3 linked regions of the Arabidopsis thaliana genome follow. The protein of the gene in region 2 interacts with the protein of the main gene of each other region in a biochemical or structural test. Each region holds a gene or a part of one and is shown on either strand. Other genes may lie near its edges.

What was found. Proteins that work in one complex are often made in the same cells at the same time.
Region 1: the proteins of SYP41 (region 2) and YKT61 form a complex in vitro, tested with the Arabidopsis thaliana proteins (one study listed by BioGRID).
Region 3: the proteins of SYP41 (region 2) and ATYKT62 form a complex in vitro, tested with the Arabidopsis thaliana proteins (one study listed by BioGRID).

What each region holds. Positions count from the first base shown.
Region 1 is NC_003076.8:23,494,940-23,501,987, forward strand, and holds YKT61 (SNARE-like superfamily protein), read left to right. Parts: upstream 1-3,199; 5' UTR 3,200-3,337; coding exon 3,338-3,530; intron 3,531-3,678; coding exon 3,679-3,752; intron 3,753-3,812; coding exon of another isoform or gene 3,813-3,820; coding exon 3,821-3,910; intron 3,911-3,999; coding exon 4,000-4,104; intron 4,105-4,320; coding exon 4,321-4,386; intron 4,387-4,597; coding exon 4,598-4,684; intron 4,685-5,121; exon of another isoform or gene 5,122-5,138; coding exon 5,139-5,189; 3' UTR 5,190-5,445; downstream 5,446-7,048. Other genes in the region: SVL4 (SHV3-like 4), read right to left, coding at 1-424, 497-636, 725-1,045, 1,122-1,620, 1,711-1,820, 1,903-2,199, 2,336-2,447; TIL (temperature-induced lipocalin), read right to left, coding at 5,573-5,758, 5,843-6,217; RR18 (response regulator 18), read right to left, coding at 6,846-6,911, 6,989-7,048. UniProt on the Arabidopsis thaliana protein: May be involved in the secretory pathway. Essential for membrane fusion mediated by either SYP41 or SYP61; triggers the fusion of phospholipid vesicles containing SYP41 or SYP61 and VTI12.
Region 2 is NC_003076.8:9,486,790-9,494,496, forward strand, and holds SYP41 (syntaxin of plants 41), read right to left. Parts: upstream 4,304-7,707; 5' UTR 3,816-4,303; coding exon 3,616-3,815; intron 3,432-3,615; coding exon 3,155-3,431; intron 3,056-3,154; coding exon 2,966-3,055; intron 2,733-2,965; coding exon 2,661-2,732; intron 2,565-2,660; coding exon 2,490-2,564; intron 2,373-2,489; coding exon 2,307-2,372; intron 2,215-2,306; coding exon 2,134-2,214; intron 2,043-2,133; coding exon 1,935-2,042; 3' UTR 1,344-1,934; downstream 1-1,343. Other genes in the region: AT5G26970 (uncharacterized protein), read right to left, coding at 271-597; AT5G26990 (Drought-responsive family protein), read left to right, coding at 4,577-4,652, 5,411-5,553, 5,831-5,908, 6,229-6,491, 6,742-6,850. UniProt on the Arabidopsis thaliana protein: Contributes to the regulation of secretory and vacuolar transport pathways in the post-Golgi network, and to the maintenance of the Golgi apparatus and trans-Golgi network (TGN) morphologies. Together with VTI12, required for membrane fusion.
Region 3 is NC_003076.8:23,540,431-23,547,363, reverse strand, and holds ATYKT62 (Synaptobrevin family protein), read right to left. Parts: upstream 3,713-6,933; 5' UTR 3,619-3,712; intron 3,364-3,618; 5' UTR 3,354-3,363; coding exon 3,155-3,353; intron 3,064-3,154; coding exon 2,966-3,063; intron 2,884-2,965; coding exon 2,785-2,883; intron 2,683-2,784; coding exon 2,617-2,682; intron 2,468-2,616; coding exon 2,381-2,467; intron 2,258-2,380; coding exon 2,207-2,257; 3' UTR 2,079-2,206; exon of another isoform or gene 2,074-2,078; intron 1,723-2,073; 3' UTR 1,604-1,722; downstream 1-1,603. Other genes in the region: ECT10 (evolutionarily conserved C-terminal region 10), read right to left, coding at 1-213, 289-368, 449-593, 691-728, 876-930; SVL5 (SHV3-like 5), read left to right, coding at 4,272-4,383, 4,467-4,763, 4,846-4,955, 5,046-5,544, 5,621-5,941, 6,030-6,169, 6,241-6,724, 6,814-6,933. UniProt on the Arabidopsis thaliana protein: Involved in the secretory pathway. Essential for membrane fusion mediated by either SYP41 or SYP61; triggers the fusion of phospholipid vesicles containing SYP41 or SYP61 and VTI12.

The sequences.
Region 1 (7,048 bases), about 14 Mb from region 2:
CAATGAATGTTGCAAGCTCTATCGTAGGATCAGAGAAGTAGTCGAACGCTATGGCGATGTACTCATTTCTTAGCACCGAGACGTATACAGAGATATTCGCTTTGTGCATTTCCTCTACCACATTAGTTTTCCCCGTGGCAAAGCTTTGGGAGACGGTGATGAGGGAAGTTCTCAAGAGATTGACAGCATCTGCATGCTTCTTGATTTCTTCGATGGATGTCTTAGGAGCATCTCCGATCTCCTTGTCGATACTCAAGACTCTTGTGTAAGGAGGGACAGCCTCGAAACTAGATAGAACTGAACTGTCATCCGACTGAATCAAAACCTTCTGGGTTGATTGCTTGTCGAGTGTGGAATTTGTAAGAGCAGACTTGACTACGTCTACGACTCCTAAGCCTTTCTTCGAGGCTAAATAAGCAGCATTCTGTCAACAAAAACAGTGTTAGTGGAGCTTCCTTGTGTTAGTCAAGGAGCATTTGGAAGTTAAATGGCTTGCCTGAATGTTGATTAAAACTCCGGTGACTGCCTTTGCTTTGCCGAGCTCAAGGAAGTCCGCAAGAGTCGTGAACTTCCCGGCGTTCTTGTTTGCGGGGTTTCTCTGGAAGCCCGTGGCAGTGAAGGGGTTTTCTATTTGTGCTGAAGACAAAGATATCCCAATGCTCAGTGACTTAGTTGAGAATAAGATTAGTTTAAGAAATCTATAGAAAAGAAATCAGTTTCTTACGCTTCACAGACTGGATCTCGGCCCATGTAAGATCAAAAGAGAAGATTCCGTTGGTAGGCTGGATCTCAGGAACGCTGGTGGCTCGGGACATGAAAGTAGTCCTGGCGGTGGTACTTGCTGAGAGGTCTGCAGCATCATGGCAGAAAGCGATTCCGTCTTTGGACATCTGAACAGAGCAGTCAATTATGTCTGCTCCATCGTCGATTGCTTTCTGGTAAGCCAGATCAGTGCAGCCTGGATAGTCTCCGCTTGCTCCATTGTGAGTTATAACCAATGCATGCCCTGCTTTGGGGAGATTGCCGTTTTGGTGAGAAAAGCAAGCTGCAAGAAAACAGACGCTTTAGCTTCTTCTTAATAATCAGCTATCTGAGGAAACATATATAGCAAGTCATCTCACTGATTGATTGTGATGCTGTTGGCGGGAAATCGGTGATGACACCATCAACAGAGAACTGGCCATTGTCCACAAACTGGAGATACTCAGCAGAGGGATCATAGCTGTAGTTAAAGCTGGTGCGCAAGTCGTTGGCAAACCCTGAAGCATAGACCTCTAGACCGGCTTTGTGAGCATCAGCCACAAAAGTGGTGGCGGGCTTAAGGTACTTAGCTGAGTCAATGGGCCAAATGTAGTCTTTGGGCACAAGAACGCCTGAAGCAAAGGCCTTGATGGCTGCGAGGTTCTGCTGAATCTCGCTGTACTTCTTGTTGGTGGTGGGCTCAACTGCCTCGGGGTCTTTGAACTCAAATATGAGCTTTGTCTTGGCCCTGCCCGCGTCCATCCCGATGCTCTTCAAGAAACCAATCTCTGGAGATGAGATGACATTAATGCCGCGGAATCGCAAGCTTCTCAGGTACTCGGCTGGGCTCAGCTTGTGTTCCATGTAGAAGGCATCGTACTGCACATTTGCATTGTTTGTTGTTTTGATGAATCAACAAAAAAGCTCCATATGTTGGTTAATCATGTTCTCAAAGAGAAGAAAACATACCTGAACGCTCAACCAGAACTTGGGAGGCTTGGTTCCAAGGACATCCTCCACTGCAGAAACCGACATTTGGCCGTCGAAGATGCTAGGCCGAGAGAAGATGTTCTGGACCACTGCTCAATAATACAAAACATGAAAATGTGTGGTGGTGGTGGTGAGCATTGAAGGGAGGAAATGAAAGAGAAGAAGACATACGAGTGACTTTGTTGAATATGGTGTCGGCATCGTAATCAATGACAAACCAGCCCTTGAGGTCCTGACCGTTGACCTTGTAGGTCTTCTGGGCTTTGGGGAAGACCGAGGAGATGGTGGTTGCATTGTCAAGTCTGATATCTGACAAGCAAAGGCCCACACCGTCCTTAGTCATCTGAAGGTTGCACAACATTGTGAAGCCAGGCGAGCTGGTGCCAATAGCCAAGTCGTTTGCAGAGATGCTTGACTCAGGGAAAAGACCCGAGAAGCCCCCTCTGGCCACAACGGCAGGCTCTTGTCCTGGAAGACAAAAGACAGGTACGGATTCTTAGAAACAAACAAACAACATGGTATCTTAAGTCTTAACATTAAACAACAACAAAAAAAAAAACATGGTAGTATGCAATATGGGCATACTCTGTAAAAGGATGCTTACCGTTAAGGGTAAGCCATTTCTTGGCAGGAACAGCTGCGGCAGCAGCAGGAGTCTTGGGTGCCGCAACAGAAGAGTGTAAGAAAAGGGAGAAAAGAATGAAAAACCTCAGCATCTCTATCTGATTGATCCTGCATTTGTGTGTAACGTACGTACCCCAATGGAAAAGCAAAGTCAGGATACATGTAACAAAAACAGAATTGTCACATTTAAGAAAATTGTGAAAGAGAGATCTTACAGCGAGAAAAGAACATGAATCCCCTCTCCTGCTTGTTTTCCTCGTTTAGTTAGAGGAAAGGAAAAAGAAGAGAAAGAGGAGATGGGTCAAACAAGGTTAATTAATGGTAAAAAAAAGTAACTTGCTCTCATATCCTCCATTTATGGCCATTTACTCCTTTCTATTTTTATCTCTTCTTCTCCACCATTCCCTTCTTAACCGCTTTTTCTTTTTTTGATGCTTTCTTACATCTTCTTTGCACAAATGGGTGTAACACCCCTCAGTTTTGGACTTTGTACTATATTCATTTGTCATACATGTATGTAGTTAAAATGACAATATTAGAGTTTGGCATTCGGACCAAACCAAGTTGTCCGATCTAAACCAAACCAATATTCCGTTAATAAGAAAACTCGATTGGCAAAAATTAAAATATTCTTTGGTTTCAGTTTTTGCCTAGACTTAAAATTCTTAAAAATCCAATTCTATGTGATGGAAAAATCTTTGATTCCGGTCCAATTCTGCATCAATATATGCTAAACCGAACCGAGACTGCCCACATAAAATTGAATTGAACCAAAGGTTTTTAATTTTTACTTCAACATAGCGAATAAGAAAAAGAGGGTATATATTCATTATTCAATGTTAATGAGAAGGCGTCTGCGTTTGGTTCGACACCTCAAAACTTGTTTTGCCTTTAGCATCTCCGAGTAAGGAATCCAGGTCCAAAGCCTCTTCTCTTCCTCCTCCTCGCTTCCTTCTCACGCAACCTTGGATCCACCGCAGCTATGAAGATCACCGCCTTGCTCGTTCTCAAGTGCGCTCCCGAAGCTTCTGATCCCGTCATCCTCTCCAACGCTTCGGACGTCTCTCACTTCGGTTATTTCCAGCGATCTAGCGTCAAGGAGTTCGTCGTCTTTGTCGGTCGCACTGTCGCTAGCCGAACCCCTCCTTCCCAACGCCAGTCTGTTCAACACGAAGGTTCTTCTCCTTCTTCTTCTACCTCTCTAGATCGATTGTTTTCAAATCTTCTTTCTCCCGGATCTAATGCAATCTCCTTTCCTCTTTGATTTTTATTCGATTTCTAAATTCGGATCGGCTTTTCGATTTTGAAACTTTTATGATTTAGGATGTGCACCGTTTCTGATTCTAGATCTTCCTGGACTATGCCCCGGCTTTAATTTCTTGCGATTCTATCTTATTGTTCTAGTCCTCGAATTTGGGATAATTAGGGTTCGTGTTTTTATTTTGTTTTTGGTTTAGAGTACAAGGTTCACGCTTACAATAGAAATGGCCTTTGCGCGGTGGGTTTCATGGACGATCATTACCCTGTTCGAAGTGCTTTCTCTCTTCTCAATCAGGTAATATCATTATGTTGAAAGTGGTTCTCAATGCATCATTCGTAAGTTTTCCTGTAATTTGGGTTGCTTGACATTTAATTTTGTCTCAGGTCCTAGATGAGTACCAGAAGAGTTTTGGTGAGTCATGGAGGTCTGCAAAAGAAGACTCCAATCAGCCTTGGCCATACTTAACCGAAGCTTTAAACAAATTTCAGGTTCTTCACTTGTGCAACTGTATTCGCTCTTTTACTGTGAATTTTGTTAAAACTGTAGTTATATTAAGCTCAGTTAGGTGGACATTAGAATCCAATCGAATGATTCATTCTTCATGAATTAATTTTAGTAGCCCCCATTGTTTTATGACCATGTTGGATTTTGAGTGATTTGATCTTAAATTGATTTTGGGATTGTCCCGTATTTGTAATCTTCAGGACCCAGCAGAGGCTGATAAGCTGTTGAAAATCCAGAGGGAGTTGGATGAGACAAAGATTATCCTTGTAAGTGCTGTCTCCGGTCCTTTCTTGTAGACCCTTATACATAAGCGGTACTTCCTTTTCTAAGTTTCAGTATACTTGCCAATTATACATAAATGCTGTTCTGTCGGTGAGTTTACTTTCTTCTGAAAAACACCAAAACAAGAAGAAAGTCTTGGTAGTTATGATGGATGTCCCTGTCTCCGTAAGACTGATTTTTTGTTCTGTATTGTAGCATAAAACCATTGATAGTGTTCTAGCCCGTGGTGAGAAGCTGGACAGCCTAGTGGAGAAGAGCTCAGATTTGAGCATGGCATCACAGGTAACATTCTAAAGTCACATTCTAGAAATTCTTATAGATTTAGTTTCCTTTTTTCCCTGTCTCGATCTCTGAGCATAGTTGGTGAACACGTTAGAAAGGGTTGTTGATTTAGCAGGCTTATAAGTGTTGTTGATTGATAGAGGAACTATTGCATGTTATTGTTGGGGTAGATAAATAGAGGAAGAATGTGGATTTAGAATACCTTCTTTGAAAAAGCTTTCTGCTTCAGCCTGCAGACATTTGAGTGCAGTTTGAACTATACAGTTGGATTTTGGAATTATTAGGTTTGCTACGAAGAATCATAGTGTTTTTTGCTATATCATCTGACCATGGGGAGGAACATATGTATTAGTCATATCCTCTGGAATCTCAAGATATTCTTCGTTATTTAGATTAGGTAAACCATGTTTACTTCCAACATGAAAATCTGATTTGGTTGTATTGGTTGGAACAGATGTTTTACAAGCAAGCGAAGAAAACAAATTCATGCTGTACTATTCTGTGAGCTGGAAGTCCTGCTGGGTATATAGTCAACCAAACTTTTGCTGGGGGGAGACTGTTTTTTCTATCGTCTTATCTATACATATAATTCCGTCTGTAGTTTGCATGCATTATTTTGATTCCATAAGTCTCGAGTCGTGTGGTGTGTTTATCCAAATACATAATGTCAACTTCTGCAAGATTTGAATTGTCTTTCCCAGATTTGATCTGATTGAATTTGTGTGCGCTTCCTTATGGTAAAAGAGACGACTTTGCATAACTAGATGAAGATGTCGTAAATAGACAAAAGCAGATGATGGAAGATAACTAGAGTAGACAAAGGGGGTAGTATATTACACAGACAAAAGGATCAAAGAGGTGAAACAAAGTCTTTGTGTGCCGTGTAATCTATTTGCCGAAGAGAGATTTGAACCACCAAACGCCCTTGGAGTCTTCAGGGGCAGTGTTGGACTCAGGTGGTGTGTCACTCTGAGGAGTCTTGTGAAGCTTGCTGATGTCATAACCTTCCTCCACTGCCTTCTCCACCAGCTGCTTATACGTCTCTTCCTCCATTTGCGCCGTCCTGCTCAATATCTACACCACCCACATATACAGAGTCAATCATTTTTGGGATCAATTTCGATTATTCGTTAAAGAGAAAAAAAAAAGAGTACCAACCCAGAGATAACTCCTGGAAGGCTGGCCAATGAGAGCGTGCTGGTAGTCAGGATCGATGTAGAGCACCCAGTAGTCTCCGGTGACGGGAATGATTGGGAGGAAAGGAGGGACATAGAACTTGACTTTGAGCTTGGCTTCGTCGCTTTTAGGATCGGCCTTATAGGCGCTGCCTTCGATAAAACCCCTCTTCCCGTTGCTCCACGTTTCGTTCAAGACGTGTATGGTACCGTCGGGGTTAAGGGTGTAGGTGGCGCGAGTGTCGACGCCGTTCTTTGGCTGAAACCTTGATGGGAAAGAAGCAATCTCGTACCAACGGCCCATGTATCTCTCCACGTTGAGCCCTTTCACCACTTCCATCTCTTTCTTCTCTGTCATTTCTCTTCTTTTTCTTTTCTTCTTCTCTAAGATTTCGATGTTTTCTTTGAGGTAAAAGGATAAGAAGAGATTCTGTTCTTTATAAGGAAATAAAAAAATAATATCAAGGAGATTTCGCTGGGACGAGAGGATGCCACGTGGAAAGCGTGTAGGGCAAGGGTTCTAGTAGCGTCTAGCAGTTACAAATGTGAATAAAGGTGGAGGACACAAATGTCTTCCTTGTTCTGTGGGAAGAAGGATACAATACAATGGGCCATACAGTCACATTTTGATTTGACTTCCTCTAGCCGTTTCTAGGCCCCACCAAATTATCCTATCGACATCTAAATATCTCTTCTTGTTGACACTTCAAAATAGCTCCATATGTAAACCAACGATCTCAATTAGGCCCATTACTATTCGTATATTGGTTTTGAATAACAACACTTATTCAGAAACTTTATAAAATAAATTTTTGTAACAGGCTCGCTTTCAATTCCAATTCATAAAAGAGAGTATGAAACAGGTTGGTGTACTATGATCTATTGACAGTCGGAGGAAACAATGTGGGAAGAAATTTAAAAAAATCACATGAAAATGGTCTCAAGTGGAGAAACTTAATGCAACTGGTAGAGAAAGAGATGACTAGCTAAGGTGGAGGAAATGAATCAAAGCCAAATCTAGTAGCCACTGGCACCATTCCGTTATTCTCCTCCTGCAACAAACACATTCACTTTCATTTTCTACAAACTACAAAAGCTTTTAATCCAATCAAGAAAACAACCGCGTTACCTGTTTCATCATCTCATTCATTATGTCATCGAATACATCATGCTGGTTGTCATTCTCTGG
Region 2 (7,707 bases):
AAACCTCAAACTCACTTTGCCGTCCGAATTTTTTTCCGGCTACCGTCTTCTCTGATAGGGATTATCGTCTGGCAATTACCAGTTCTTTCCGGTGTTGGCCAGCTCTTGTCCGGTATCATTCAGCTTTCACAGTGATGATGGTCGGCTATGCCGTCAGCGTTCTTTTGCTGCTTTTTGTTTTTTCATAAATTAGCTTTGCTTTCAATAAATCTCATTTGAGATGTGTTGGTGATAATGATAGAGCGGTTTTCGCTTTTTGTTACTTATTATCTAACCTGTTTTTCTTTTTGAGTTTAGAATTGCAGGAAACAAATCAGAGATTTGAGTTGGAAAAAAAAGTGATTTCCGTTGCATATTAACATTACCTTGAGCTGTTGTTTCTCTAATTAGGGCTTCGATTATTTTTACCGGTGAAAACCCATAAGATTCCATGTTTGATTTGTTAATCGACGTTGAATCTTCACCGGAGTCGATGTTTGACGGCGAAGGATGAAGTCGGGAAAACTTTGGATTCTCATCCAGTACGTGTATTGGTTTCTCTCCAGCAGAAGACACGTGGCTTTGGATAGAGACAAAAGATAATATTTCTTCTTCCATAGACGGTTTCTCTGTTGGGCTTTAGTTGGGCCTAATATGTTTCTGTAGCTTTTTTGTTCTGGGGTATTTCATAATCCATGTAATATTTGACTTAAACAATAAAATTATCCCTATTGCGAAAAAAAGACTAAAACCATCAACTACTTTTTTTCATTTTATTTTTGTAAATAAATATATAACCAATAATTGGTAAACATCCATTGTAAATAAGATAACTATATTTTAAATGATAATTGGTAAACATCCATGCACATGTTGTTTGAGGTTTTTTTTTGGTTATACATGTTCAAGGATTTTATTGAAGCACTATATATAATATAAGTTTTAAATTTATTATATACATGCTACATTTAAAAAAGATAAAATATTATCATAAATTTTAAAAAATTCTTAGATATGTAATTTATTATATTTAAAGGTAATTTAAAGAATCATTAGAAACAGATAAAAAAAATAATGTGCTATCCAGGATAATACTATCTTTTTTAAGCGCTGATATAATCATTATTTAATTTTTTTTTTATATTTTTCTTTTAAAAACCCTCCAGCTAATTATCTACAAAAATAATAACACAAATTTAATATTAAAATTATAATTTTTGTCAACAGTATGATTATAATATGGGTTTGAACCATGATAATGACACAATAACAATACAAGTTCAATTAGGCTATTTGGCATGACCAATTTCAAACTAGAGTTGAGAACTTGAGATGTAATTTAATTCATATTAACTCATCACAAAAACGTGTATAAAGTTTTCATTGTTTCAAGTGAAAAATATTTATACATTTGTAAATGATATATGTTTTTAAAAGAACTAGAATGTTGAGAATTTGTAATTTATGCGAAGATACAATAACCGGAAAGTAAAAGATTTCAAACAAACTCGTTTTCACATTTGAATACTCCACCATGTAGTGCTCGCAGCTACGATTCCATCTTGCCCGAAATCTGGTCACTCCAATGAACGTCTTCACCGGAAAATCCACAAGTTACAATGGTCAAAACCATTTTGTCAAAAACAAGTTCCAACAACTATGACTGGAATCTTATACATTTTAAAAGAACACTTGACTTTAGCGTGAAGAGAGTATTTTGGCGTTGGTGCACAGATCTCTCAACTCCTCAGACATCGACCTCTGACTATCTATGGTCTTCTTCTACACAATAATATTACGTACTAACTACTCTGCAAAGGATCTTAGTATTGTTAAATGCAAAGAAGTTGAAACCAAAAGCCCTGAAGGAAAACATGCGATGTTCGGGGCTAAAGAATGAAATAGTTAAGGATCGAACTTTTCTTATTGATCTAACCAGGGATTATAGTATCCGATCACAAGAATATTTCCTTGAGGATTAAGAGTAGCAGCATGATGAAACAGAGGATGACAAGCACGGATGCGCACTTCACCATACCTCCATGTCTCTGCGTTCGCTCTGCCTGTGAAGTTTTTTTATGCGATCCACTTCATTTAGAATTGGGACAAACAAATAGTTGGACATTAATGTTGAAGAGAGAACACTATTTTTACCTTCTGTAGTTGTTTGAGACCATCTTCAACAGTAGTAGCGACGTTTTCGATATTATAGTCTATCCGATCAACTATTGTACCCTGCAATTAAACGGGTTGCTTTGAGTTTGTTTTTCGAAAGGAAGAAGACTCAAAAGCTAGACAAAGAGAATATGGGATTAAATAAGTTTAACCTGATCTATCACAAGTGCAGAAAGATCCTTCATAATTTGAGCAAGATCGTTTACTGATTCTACAACCTGGACAATGACACAGACAACGAAGAAGAAAAAAGATTATGATTGATTGCAAAAGAAAAAAAAAAACGTTGGTGAGCTACAAACAACTAAGAACAAAGACGTAGTGCAAGCACTTGCCTGTTGTATCTCTTTCTCCCTCTCTACAGATACTTCTTCACTCTTTTTTATCTTTGACATCTGATGCTCGTTTAACTAAAAAGGAATCGAGAAAAAATTCCATCAATAAAGAAGACATAAGACGAATGATTGCTTTAAATCGATAGAATGAAACAGGTATAGGAGTCAAACCATATCGCCAAAGTCATCCTCTTCAGGTCTATATCTGTTTCTGCTCAGATTCATCTCTAAATCCATCCCATCCTGATAAATGATAATACATTTCAAGTCAAAGCTTCTTGAGAGGACAGAATAATATACTCTGAAAAAACAAGTACTAAAAGAATCTATCATCTATGAAATCGATGTAAAGAAGTTTCATTTGAGGCGGAGGAGCAGAAAGCAAACAAAAACTTCAAAGAATGAGACACTGCAACATCACATAGTTTCCGGTATAAGAAATGCCAATTACACTAAAATAGATAATAGTTTCATACCTCTTTTTGCTGCCTCAAGCGTTTCAAATATGTTGACTGTTTTTTGCGAAGCTCCATAGAAAGAAGTTGGAGGTCAGTGGCAAGAGACCGCTGTTATTAAACACACATGATAAATCTTAGATAGCAATGGCAAATGCAGCAAAAAGAAAGGAAATGTGTTAAGAGCAGCTTCCATCAAGTCAAAACTACCTGCACATTTTTCCTAACATTTGAATCTTCAGAAGGCCCTGAAGCAGAAAGCCTCTGAAGTTGCTTCTCAGACTTCTTCAATAGAAAAGTTATCTCCTGTGTCAAAGACTCAATATTATGTTGATCTTCTTTACCATCCCCAAACGATGGCATTAACGCCTTGGCATGAGCCTTTCCCAACTCAGCCATTTTAGTCCTTGCACGCTGTATATTCACAGATATCTCCTCAGAGACATCAACCCAAGCTGGTGGTAAGCCCACTGTTATCGCACCTTTACTAAAACATGACCAAAAATATCTCAGTAACTACTAACTCTCAGCTTAACGTAGCTCACAGACATTTACTTCAACTACACTATCAATGATGTATTATCATTCTCATTGCTAAGCTAATCATTTCCAGTTAACCCTAATTGATCAAATTGTTCACCATTTTCACTGATAAAGAGAGAGAAGAGTACCTAGAAGTTCCAGGATCTTCGGTACTAATAGGAGCGTAAGAGCGATTCGGATTCAATAACGAAGTACTCGCCATCTCGATCACCGGACCAACGCCGCCGGATCGTGTTCCCGTCAATGAAGATGACGACAATGGAGCTCTGACGCTTCTCAGAGAGTTTCTGTACTTCCTAAACAGCAACGTACGATTCCTCGTCGCCATGATCGTCAAAATTTGAAATCCCTAGAATCTCAATTTCACATCCAAATTCGAAATCAGCTCCGATCTGAACACAATCGCGGCTTCATCATCGACCGAGAATAAAACCGAACACAAAAATTGGGACTCCGACAAGGAAGTGCTCGGAGAGCGGCGAGATCAAAACTTTTTCCGATGAGGAAAGTAAACTCTCAGATTTGCAAATTGAGGTTTTCACTTTTCACTATTTCCCCAAAACTTAAAACTTTGGAAACAGTAAAAAAAAAAGTTAAAAAACAGTTGCGCGGCTAACTTTGTCCTGTTTCACCAGCTTACCAAATACAAACCAATAATATTTCGACACGTAAGCGTCGTACTAACAGCATGACGTTTTGATATTCCAAAAGGGAAAAACACGGCGGGTAAAAGGTTTAAACGGCATGCATTCGTGCGGGCTGTTAAAAAACAATTTAATACATGTAATAGAACTCATCTCTTCTATGTCTTTCACTCTCTCTCTCTCTCTATATCCAAAGAATTAAAAACCATAATAAAAAAAGAAGATAAAAAGACGAATTCCAGAAAAAAAAGACGCAAAATCGTCGTCGTCGTCTTCGTCTTTGCATTTCGTCGGAATCTTTTGATTCTTGAATCGGAATATCTCTGTTTTTGTTTTATCCGGACTCAAGATCAATTCGGATTCTTGGAATTTATTTGATTTTTTGTTGTTGTTGTTGAAAAAGTGGATTCTTTGGTTTCGATTTGTAATAATCTTCGTAGAAAAAATGGATTCTGATTCTTGGAGTGATCGTCTCGCATCGGCTTCAAGAAGATATCAGCTCGATTTCTTGTCTCGATCTGGTGAGTTTGATAAAAATTATAACTTGGATTTGTTCTTTCTTAATTTGAGATTTGATTGGTTTTGTCTTAAATTTAATCTTGATTCTATTGCAAAAATATCAATGATATTTAGACCTCAAATTTGTTTTCTTTTGAATTGATCAAGGATCGAGATTGACTGTAAGAGATTGACATTTTTGTTACTGTTCTGGTTTTCCGAACAAAATGGGACAAGACATTGATTGTGTCTTGTTCTGAATATTTGAAATGGTGATTGTTCAAATGTTTGTTTTGCTGATATTGAATTTAAGGAAAATGGAGGAAATAAATTCTGTCTTTTGAGGCATTTTACTAATGTGAGGCTTTAGGGATTGATTAAGCGTGTGTGTTTTGTTTCTAGGTTTTGGTATGAACTTAATGTCAAAAGCTGGAATCTTGATGATTCTTGTTTGACTTACAAGTAAATACAAAACTTCTTGTTGGTAAAAACGTTTTTAAAAGCTTTAGTTTCATCTCAAACTTAGACGTCTTTGCCAGGGAAGGTTTTATGATCTACTAGTTTCCATTCGTTTATTTAGATATCTTTGATGTTTCTTCTGAAACCCATTTGTATTGGAACTTCGAGAATGGAACGCGTTTTTAGTATTTCCCATTTTATTTTCTAGGCTTTTGTTTTGTAGTTGTCATTTTATTTTCTAGGCTTTTGTTTTGTAGTTGTCACATTTTCGAATGTTCTCTTGGCCGTGTTTGACTAGTTTCTTCATTTTTGAAAAACGCAGACAATTTCTTGGGGTTTGAGGAGATAGAAGGAGAAGATGACTTCAGGGAGGAGTATGCTTGCCCGTTCTGTTCAGACTATTTTGATATCGTCTCTCTATGCTGTCACATTGATGAAGATCATCCTATGGATGCAAAAAATGGGGTAGATATTTCCTCAATGTTACCTTTCTCTCGTTTTGAATCAAAATCTATTTATTGTTTCATCATATCATTCTTGGTAAGAGCACTGTTCTATGTTTAGTAGTTACTGGTCTTGGATATAAAGAAAGTGAAAGTAACCTAATGAAATGCGTCGAAATAGTATTTGGAATTGCCACTCAGTGTTCCTCAGAGAAGAAATCAACTCTAGGACACTTGTTTATTGCTACAATAGCAAGATTTGTTTTCAATTCTGCGTTTTGACATTGTTAATCTTGTAGGTATGTCCCATTTGTGCGGTGAAAGTGAGCTCTGATATGATTGCTCATATAACCCTACAACATGCAAATATGTTCAAGATATCCTTTTTGCTCTCTCTACCAGTTATATTTTTAACGATCATGTACTTATCTGATTCTTCCAATGAGTTGTGTTAATGATATGAATACTTCCTGATTTATGATTTAGGAAATAGTTTAGGATTTACTTTTCCTAGAGTCTTTTATTTATGTTCTGTTAGAAGTAAGGGTTAGGTTTTGTTTGTGAAACCTAACCAAGCAATTGAGAGCTTTGGAGGATTCTATTGAGTTTATACTCTTGTTGCTTTATTGTTCTATCTTTTCTACTATCATAATAAAGATTTTATCTCTAACAGTTACATTCCTTAACAAAATATTACGTGACGCGGAAAAGGAAATCAAGAAGAGGCGGGGCTCAATCCATGCTATCGATCTTGAAGAGAGAGTTTCCTGATGGAAATTTTCAGAGCCTATTTGAAGGAACATCACGTGCTGTATCCTCTTCTTCTGCCAGTATAGCTGCTGATCCTTTACTGTCTTCATTCATTTCACCAATGGCTGATGACTTTTTCATTTCTGAGTCAAGTCTATGTGCAGACACAAGTTCTGCCAAGAAAACATTGAATCAGAGTTTGCCTGAAAGGTATGCTTCCACATTCTCATTTGGATTACACTTCTGGATGATATCCTCATTGATTTCTTGATCATTCTTGTTAAGTCATCGCATATTACTCATCCTTAGTTTTTATGAGCCTTAATGGAATTTAGTTGATCCCTTGTTTTACCAATAACCTAAAAGCTCTTGTGATCTGAGTGTTTTTTTTGTTGTTGTTGTAGAAATGCAAATTGCAGAGTTTGTTATGATGGTTCTTGTCTTGATCTGTCTTATACAGGAATGTTGAGAAGCAGTCTCTTTCAGCAGAGGATCACAGAGAAAAGTTGAAACAGAGCGAGTTCGTTCAAGGGATATTGAGCTCTATGATTCTTGAAGACGGCTTATAAAGGAGAAACATATTCCGGTAACTTGTCTACGGTTAGATGATTCAGCGATTGGAAAATGTAACGGCTTTGTTGTGTTAAACGCAACAATTGATTTGGGAAAGGGTTTGGGAATAAGCAGAATAATGTAAAAGAGAGACATGATAATGAGTATTATTTTTAACTTATGAACTACATATTTGCTTTAATGAACACTCGAATTGTCTGTACACCGTAGGTCTTACAAAAAGAAACCAAAAAAAGGTATGTATTTGATCATATATTTGCACTGAGTTTTCTGGTCTTACTATGGTGTTTTGTATCAAAAGTTTGATGAAACTATTTGGGGTTAGAAAGATCGCAGAGTTTTAATTTTCGGTTTTGACAAATTAAAAATGTGTAAACCAACCAACTAGACAAGGACATAACCTAAAGGATAAAAATTGAACTAAGAATTGTAGAGCTTTACCCGGAAGGGAGCTCTTCCAGAAATTCTCGAAGGCCCAAGACAAGCTTAGGCCTAGGAGGGGGTTTGGAAATAGTTTTCAACCAGCAATAGACGCGCCTCGGTTAAGACCTCATTAGCTGCGTCATTGCCCCAAGCGCAAAGATGACTTTCTACAGAGTGAGAGCCTCTTAATTTATAGCCAAGCAAAACCTATGAAGCCAATATATGCTTCCGATGTGGGACTTTTTGGTGTACCAAACAATATAATGTACACGTCGTCACTTGAGTTCCTGATATTTCTGTTTTGTCCATATTGAAAACAGGTTTCTAACCTAAGGCATAACAGATTGAGACTAATTGAATGGTAGGGGCTGCGCGAACGCAAACCCCTTCTGCCACAAATAATGACGTAGGATCCTCCTCAAGGGAAGAC
Region 3 (6,933 bases), about 14 Mb from region 2:
CCCTCCACCATATTGCCCGTAAGGAATCATATAAGCAGCAGATGTTGGGTCAATATCTGAGGGTAAATAATGCATTGCAGAAGGTGCACCAAAAGGTTGTGGGTAATAAGCTGGGGAGACTGGAATTTGTCCCTCCAACATTACAGAAGGATAAGGGTTAAATCCATAACCAGGATATTGGTACATAAGAGATGAATTGTCATTGTAGACAACCTGAGGATAAAGAATAACTAAGTTAATTAAGTAGCAAGAGGAAGATAGAACATAAATAGGGCAAGTCATACTAACCGGTGGCACATGCATGGCTTCAGGGGTAGTAGTAGCATATCGTGGATATCCATCCCAAGTATTGATGCCTTGTGCATAGCCTAGAGAAAACACAACAATGCAATGAGCACTTACAGATTTTGTTTGATTTATTAGAAGAGAGAAGAAGACAAAAAATTACCAGAATTTGCGATATCCCAATCGTAGTGATAGAGATTGGTAGGGGTTTGAAGAACGTTATAATAAGGAGCGGGATCAGGAGAAGGAACCACGGAAGAACTATAAGACGAAGAAACAATGTTCCTTCCATCGTCGTGAGAAACCTGCTGGTGGTGAAAGGAACAACGCATTTTAAACCTAGGATGGTGGTTTTACAATAATTCAAAATAGAAGAAGAAGAAGAAGAAGATTGAATTAAATTACCTGTTGGACGCCATTATCAGCCATCACTGGTCTTTCCCCTGCGAGAGAAGTCAACATATCTCGTCAGAAGTAGAAACAGAACATCAACGGCTCTATAATGTTCTAGGGTTTGGGTTCAATTGGGGGATTTTGTTCATGGAGATCGAAGAGATACGAAAAGAAAAATGAGGGGGAAAAGAGTGTACCAGAAGAGACGATTCGGTTGCGCTGATTTGAGGAAGAAGAAGAAGCGGGATCCATGGAGGAGATCTGAGAGAGCGAGAGATCGGAGAGGTTTTTGTGAGATTAGAGAGGAGAATTTTGAAAGACTATTGCAACTGTTGTGGGCCCGTTATGAGTTAATACGAAAAATATTAGAGAGGTTCCTTCCTTTTAAAGCGGTTTGGTTTTGAGCCTTTTCGTTTTTCAATGTTAGTAGTAGTAGTCCCATTAACTGTACCATACCACTTTTCTTCTTCAGATTTGTGCAATGCTTTTTTCTCACAAAGTCACAATTCCCCTTAAGACAAAAATTCAAAAGAACATTTGTAACCAATGCAGAGGTTGAATTAAATTATCATAGATTCGAGTCTTTGATCCGTTACGAAAATTTGAATGTTTAGAGTGTCTGTACTCGACTATTTGTCACGAAAATTTGAATATTTAGACTGTTTAGATTTTACTAGCCGTTACGAAAATTAGAATGTTATAGAGTATCTAGATTCGATTATAAAATCTTGAGTTTGTATTCTTTTTCTTTTGTAACGCCTAATTCATTGATTGCATCGAAATGAGAGTCGATACAATCAATGTACATTAAAAGTATGCAATACATATACACATCAACATACATAGTTAAACTTGAAAGTAAGCCGTGAAAAATTGAACTTATATAATGTTTTCCGATACAATAGCTTTACTAGTTAACAAATTATTAATTATGTTAATTTTATTTATATAATTTTTTATCCCAATATGATGAAACTGTCATTCTTAGCTAACATCTCTTGGATAAAAACTACACATTACAGAAAAAAAAAACCAAAAAAAAAACTACACATTAGTCTAAATGATTTATGGTATATTATCTTTCACCAGTTTGTTTGTTTTTCTGATTCCATTATCGCTAATGTGGCATTTATTAATTTGTCACACTGCAAGCTCTTTCCATGCCTTATACGATCACGAACATTCATAAGCTGTGGGCCAACTTTGAGTGCAAAATGGGACTTCAAAGGCCCTACACTACTTATAGATGAAAGTGGCCATTTGGTGAGGACTGTATGACTTTCGTGTTTACCCAATTTTCACATTCGTGCTTCAAATCTATCCTTGTATGTGTGTGTGCGTCTTCTCTATTATTCCATAAAATGCATGACCAAAATCATTGATCTTTTTTCCCACATAACAAAAAAAAAAAAAACTAAAACCTGACATGGAACAACTTATTCCTTGAGATATGTTCATAAGTTCATAGAAAGCAGTTCAAGTAGGGTAGACTATTCTATAGAGGGACATTCAAGAGTTGCATTACAGCTTAGAGAAGTGTACAACATGAGTTTGTTTTCTTCGCTTGCTTGTAAAACATCTGTTTCATCCAAACACCAAAACAAACCAATATTCTCATGTCAGAAACTATTTCATCTATCTCCCATTACCCTCAGAATCCACTGAAGAAACAGTAGTAAGTAATACTAGGGTGGAATGTTACCTTCGATGCCAGGCTTAACTCTGAGCTCTTCTCCACTAAGCTGTCCAGCTTTTCACCTCGGGCTAGGACACCATCAATGGTTTTATGCTGTAGTATAAAACAAAAGTCAGCATAAAACGACCATGTTTAAGCGACCTTGGAAACAAGAACTTAATGGAGGGAACTGGTATGTATTGGAATGTAAAAAGGAAGCAAAGCATGCAGGTCAACAATCAAGAACCAGGGACGGCACTTACAAGGATAATCTTGGTCTCATCCAATTCCCTCTGGATTTTCAACAGCTTATCAGCTTCTGCCGGGTCCTGAAGATATTCCAAAAAAAAGTAAGAATAATTGACACAGCAAATAGTTCCTAAAGTCTTAAACAAGATTCATAGATACAAAAAAGTTAGTGCTTCTAGAACCCGAAATTTGTCTGAAGCTTCTTTTAAGTATGGCCACGGCTGACTAGAGTTTTCAAACCTCCATGTGTCACCATAATCCTTCTGGTATACATCTAATACCTGTCAAAAACAGAATGCCAACGAAAGAAAAAATATTTTCCTTCAAACAAGACCGTACCAGAAGTTAGATTTTGTTTTGTACCTGATTGAGAAGAGAAAAGGCACTTCGAACGGGATAATGGTCGTCCATGAATCCTACGGCGCAGAGGCCATTTATGTTGTAAGCGTGCACTTTATACTCTACATATCAACACAGCGATGTCAATTACAAAATTATAAACAGGACACATATATATGACAGATCCAAGAGCCAAAAAAAAAGAAGAAGAACCTTCGTGTTTGACGGATTGGCGCTGACCTGGAGGGGTTCTTCTGGCAACAGTACGGGCAATGAATACAATGAACTCTTCGAAGTTAGAGCGATAAAAAGAGAATTTTCCGAATTGTGAGAGGTCGGAAACGTTGGCCAGGATAACGGGTTCGCGTGTTTCGGGATCGCACTTGAGAACGAGCAAGGCAGTGATCTTCATGACAAGGGTTCTGAATCATGAAACAGAACCAATGAAGTTCCAGTGAGTTTATTTTACTATGAGCTAAAAACGTAAAAAAAACAAAGTCACAGTTGGTGAGAGACTAATTTTGTTACTATACAATCATAAGACAGAAACTCGAAAAAAAACATAGCTTTTGAAACAACAAGGAGAGAGTAGACGAGATAAAGAGTGTTCGAGCAGATATGTTATAAGAGACAGAGAAGAAGCTAAAGAGAGAAGAAGCAAGATAGAGAGGTGTTACCGGGGCAGAGAGTAGACAAGACAGATGAGACGAGATCGACAATACGATGTATAGATGCAGAGAGGAGAGTTGAATCGTTGTTGAATTCCAGAGACCTTTTTAGTTAAGGGACCTTTCAGGGTTAGGCCATATAGAAAAAAAAAAATTAAAATTTTATTTATTAATATAACGAAATTATTTTTAATATTTGTTCGTGTTACTAATTTATATACGTAAGTGAAAAATGGAGGATATATTTTAGTATATATTTTTTTGATACGTCAAGGTCTCAATGAACGACAGAAACGCGGTAAGAGAGAAAGGAGAGATAAAAATAGGTGTGGATGAGTTGTTTGATCCATAAATGGGATGGCCAAGTTTCTTTCTTACTATTAATTAACTAACTTGTTTTTCTTCATTCCAATTTTGAAACCCCTTCTTTCTTTGGCCCCAAGCTTCCGTTTTTCTTCATCTTATTCTTTCAAAATCTCAAACCCATAAGGGAAAAAGAAGCATAAAGAGGCAGAAGAGGAAGGTGGTCATATGTTCTTGCTTTCGCCTTGTGAGATCTCTTTACTTGTCTCTCTCGCCTCTTTCACATTTTCTTAAATTTTAAAGTTTCTATCTTATGATAGCTTTTCTTTTGTGTTACAAACAGGATCAATCATACAGAGATGCTGAGGTTTATCATATTTTTCTCCCTTTTTATACACTTATGTGTTGCAGCCCCCCAGACTCCTGCTGCTGCCGCGGCGGTTCCTGCTAAGAAATGGCTCACCCTTAATGGTAAGTATCCTTCTCAATCCCCATATTACATAACCTGCTCTTTGTTTGTTTCTAAGAATCCGTACCTGTCTTTTATCTTCCAGGACAAGAGCCTGCCGTTGTGGCCAGAGGGGGCTTCTCGGGTCTTTTCCCTGAGTCAAGCGCCTCTGCAAACGACTTGGCTATTGGCACCAGCTCGCCTGGCCTCACAATGTTGTGCAACCTTCAGATGACTAAGGACGGTGTGGGCCTTTGCTTGTCAGATATCATACTTGACAATGCAACCACCATATCTTCAGTCTTCCCTAAAGCCCAGAAGACCTACAAGGTCAACGGTCAGGACCTCAAGGGATGGTTTGTCCTTGATTACGATGCCGACACCATCTTCAACAATGTCACTTGTATGTCTTCTTCTCTTTCATTTCATCCCTTCAATGCTCACCACCACGACCACACATTTTCATCTTTTATGTTATTGTGCAGTGGTCCAGAACATCTTCTCTCGGCCTAGCATCTTCGACGGCCAAATGTCGGTTTCCGCAGTGGAGGACGTCCTTGGAACCAAGCCTCCCAAGTTTTGGTTGAGCGTTCAGGTATGTTTTCTTCTCTTTGAGAACATGATTAACCAACATATGGAGCTTTTTTGTTGATTCATCAAAACAACAAACAATGCAAATGTGCAGTACGATGCCTTCTACATGGAACACAAGCTGAGCCCAGCCGAGTACCTGAGAAGCTTGCAATTCCGCGGCATTAATGTCATCTCATCTCCAGAGATTGGTTTCTTGAAGAGCATCGGGATGGACGCGGGCAGGGCCAAGACAAAGCTCATATTCGAGTTCAAAGACCCAGAGGCAGTTGAGCCCACCACCAACAAGAAGTACAGTGAGATTCAGCAGAACCTCGCAGCCATCAAGGCCTTTGCTTCAGGCGTTCTTGTGCCCAAAGACTACATTTGGCCCATTGACTCAGCTAAGTACCTTAAGCCCGCCACCACTTTTGTGGCTGATGCCCACAAAGCCGGTCTAGAGGTCTATGCTTCAGGGTTTGCCAATGACTTGCGCACCAGCTTTAACTACAGCTATGATCCCTCCGCTGAGTATCTCCAGTTTGTGGACAATGGCCAGTTTTCTGTTGATGGCGTCATTACTGATTTCCCGCCAACAGCATCACAATCCATCAGTGAGATGACTTGCTATATACGTTTCCTCAGATAGCTGATTATTAAGAAGAAGCTAAAGCGTCTGTTTTCTTGCAGCTTGCTTTTCTCACCAAAATGGCAATCTCCCCAAAGCAGGGCATGCGTTGGTTATAACTCACAATGGAGCAAGCGGAGACTATCCAGGCTGCACTGATCTGGCTTACCAGAAAGCAGTCGATGATGGAGCAGACGTGATCGACTGCTCTGTTCAGATGTCTAAAGACGGAATCGCTTTCTGCCATGATGCTGCAGACCTTACAGCAAGTACCACCGCCATGACTATTTTCATGTCCCGAGCCACAAGCGTTCCTGAGATCCAGCCTACCAATGGCATTTTTTCTTTTGATCTTACATGGGCTGAGATCCAGTCTGTGAAGCGTAAGAAACTGATTTGTTTTACTATAGACTTCTGAAACTATCTCATTCTCAACTAAGTCACTGAGCATTGGGATATCTTTGTATTCAGCACAAATAGAGAACCCCTTCACTGCCACGGGCTTCCAGAGAAATCCAGCAAACAAAAACGCTGGAAAGTTCATTACTCTTGCGGATTTCCTTGACTTCAGCAAAGCAAAGGCTGTCACCGGAGTTATGATCAACATCGAGGCAAGACTTTGTAACTCCAAAATGCTTCTAAATTTACTCAAGGCAGCTTCTAACGCATTGTTTGTTGACAGAATGCTGCTTACCTAGCCTCAAAGAAGGGCCTAGGAGTCGTAGACGCAGTTAAGTCGGCTCTGGCCAAGTCCACACTCGACAAGCAATCAACTCAGAAAGTTTTGATTCAGTCAGATGACAGTTCGGTCCTGGCCAGTTTTGAGGCTGTCCCTCCGTACACGAGAGTCTTGAGCATTGACAAGGAAATCGGAGGTGCTCCCAAGCCATCAGTCGATGAAATCAAGAAGTACGCAGAAGCTGTCAATCTCTTGAGAACTTCCCTAGTCACTGTCTCCCAAAGTTTTACCACAGGGAAGACTAACGTTGTGGAGGAAATGCACAAAGGGAATATCTCTGTTTATGTTTCAGTGCTAAGAAACGAGTACATCTCCGTAGCGTTCGACTACTTCTCTGACCCTACAATAGAGCTTGCCACATTCATTTCAGGGAGTGGCGTTGATGGAGTCATCACGGAGTTCCCTGCCACCGCTACCAGATACTTAAGTAAGTTTAAACCTCGACAAGGTCATGAAAGAACAATAGATATACAAAACAAAGATAAAGCTGATCATTTATATTTGATGCAAATGCAGAGAGTCCATGCTCAGATTTGAACAAAGAACAGCCCTATGCAATCTTACCAGCAGAAGCCGGTGGTCTAGTCGTCGTGGCAGACAAGGAAGCACAACCACCAGCTAGTGCCCCAAACCCGC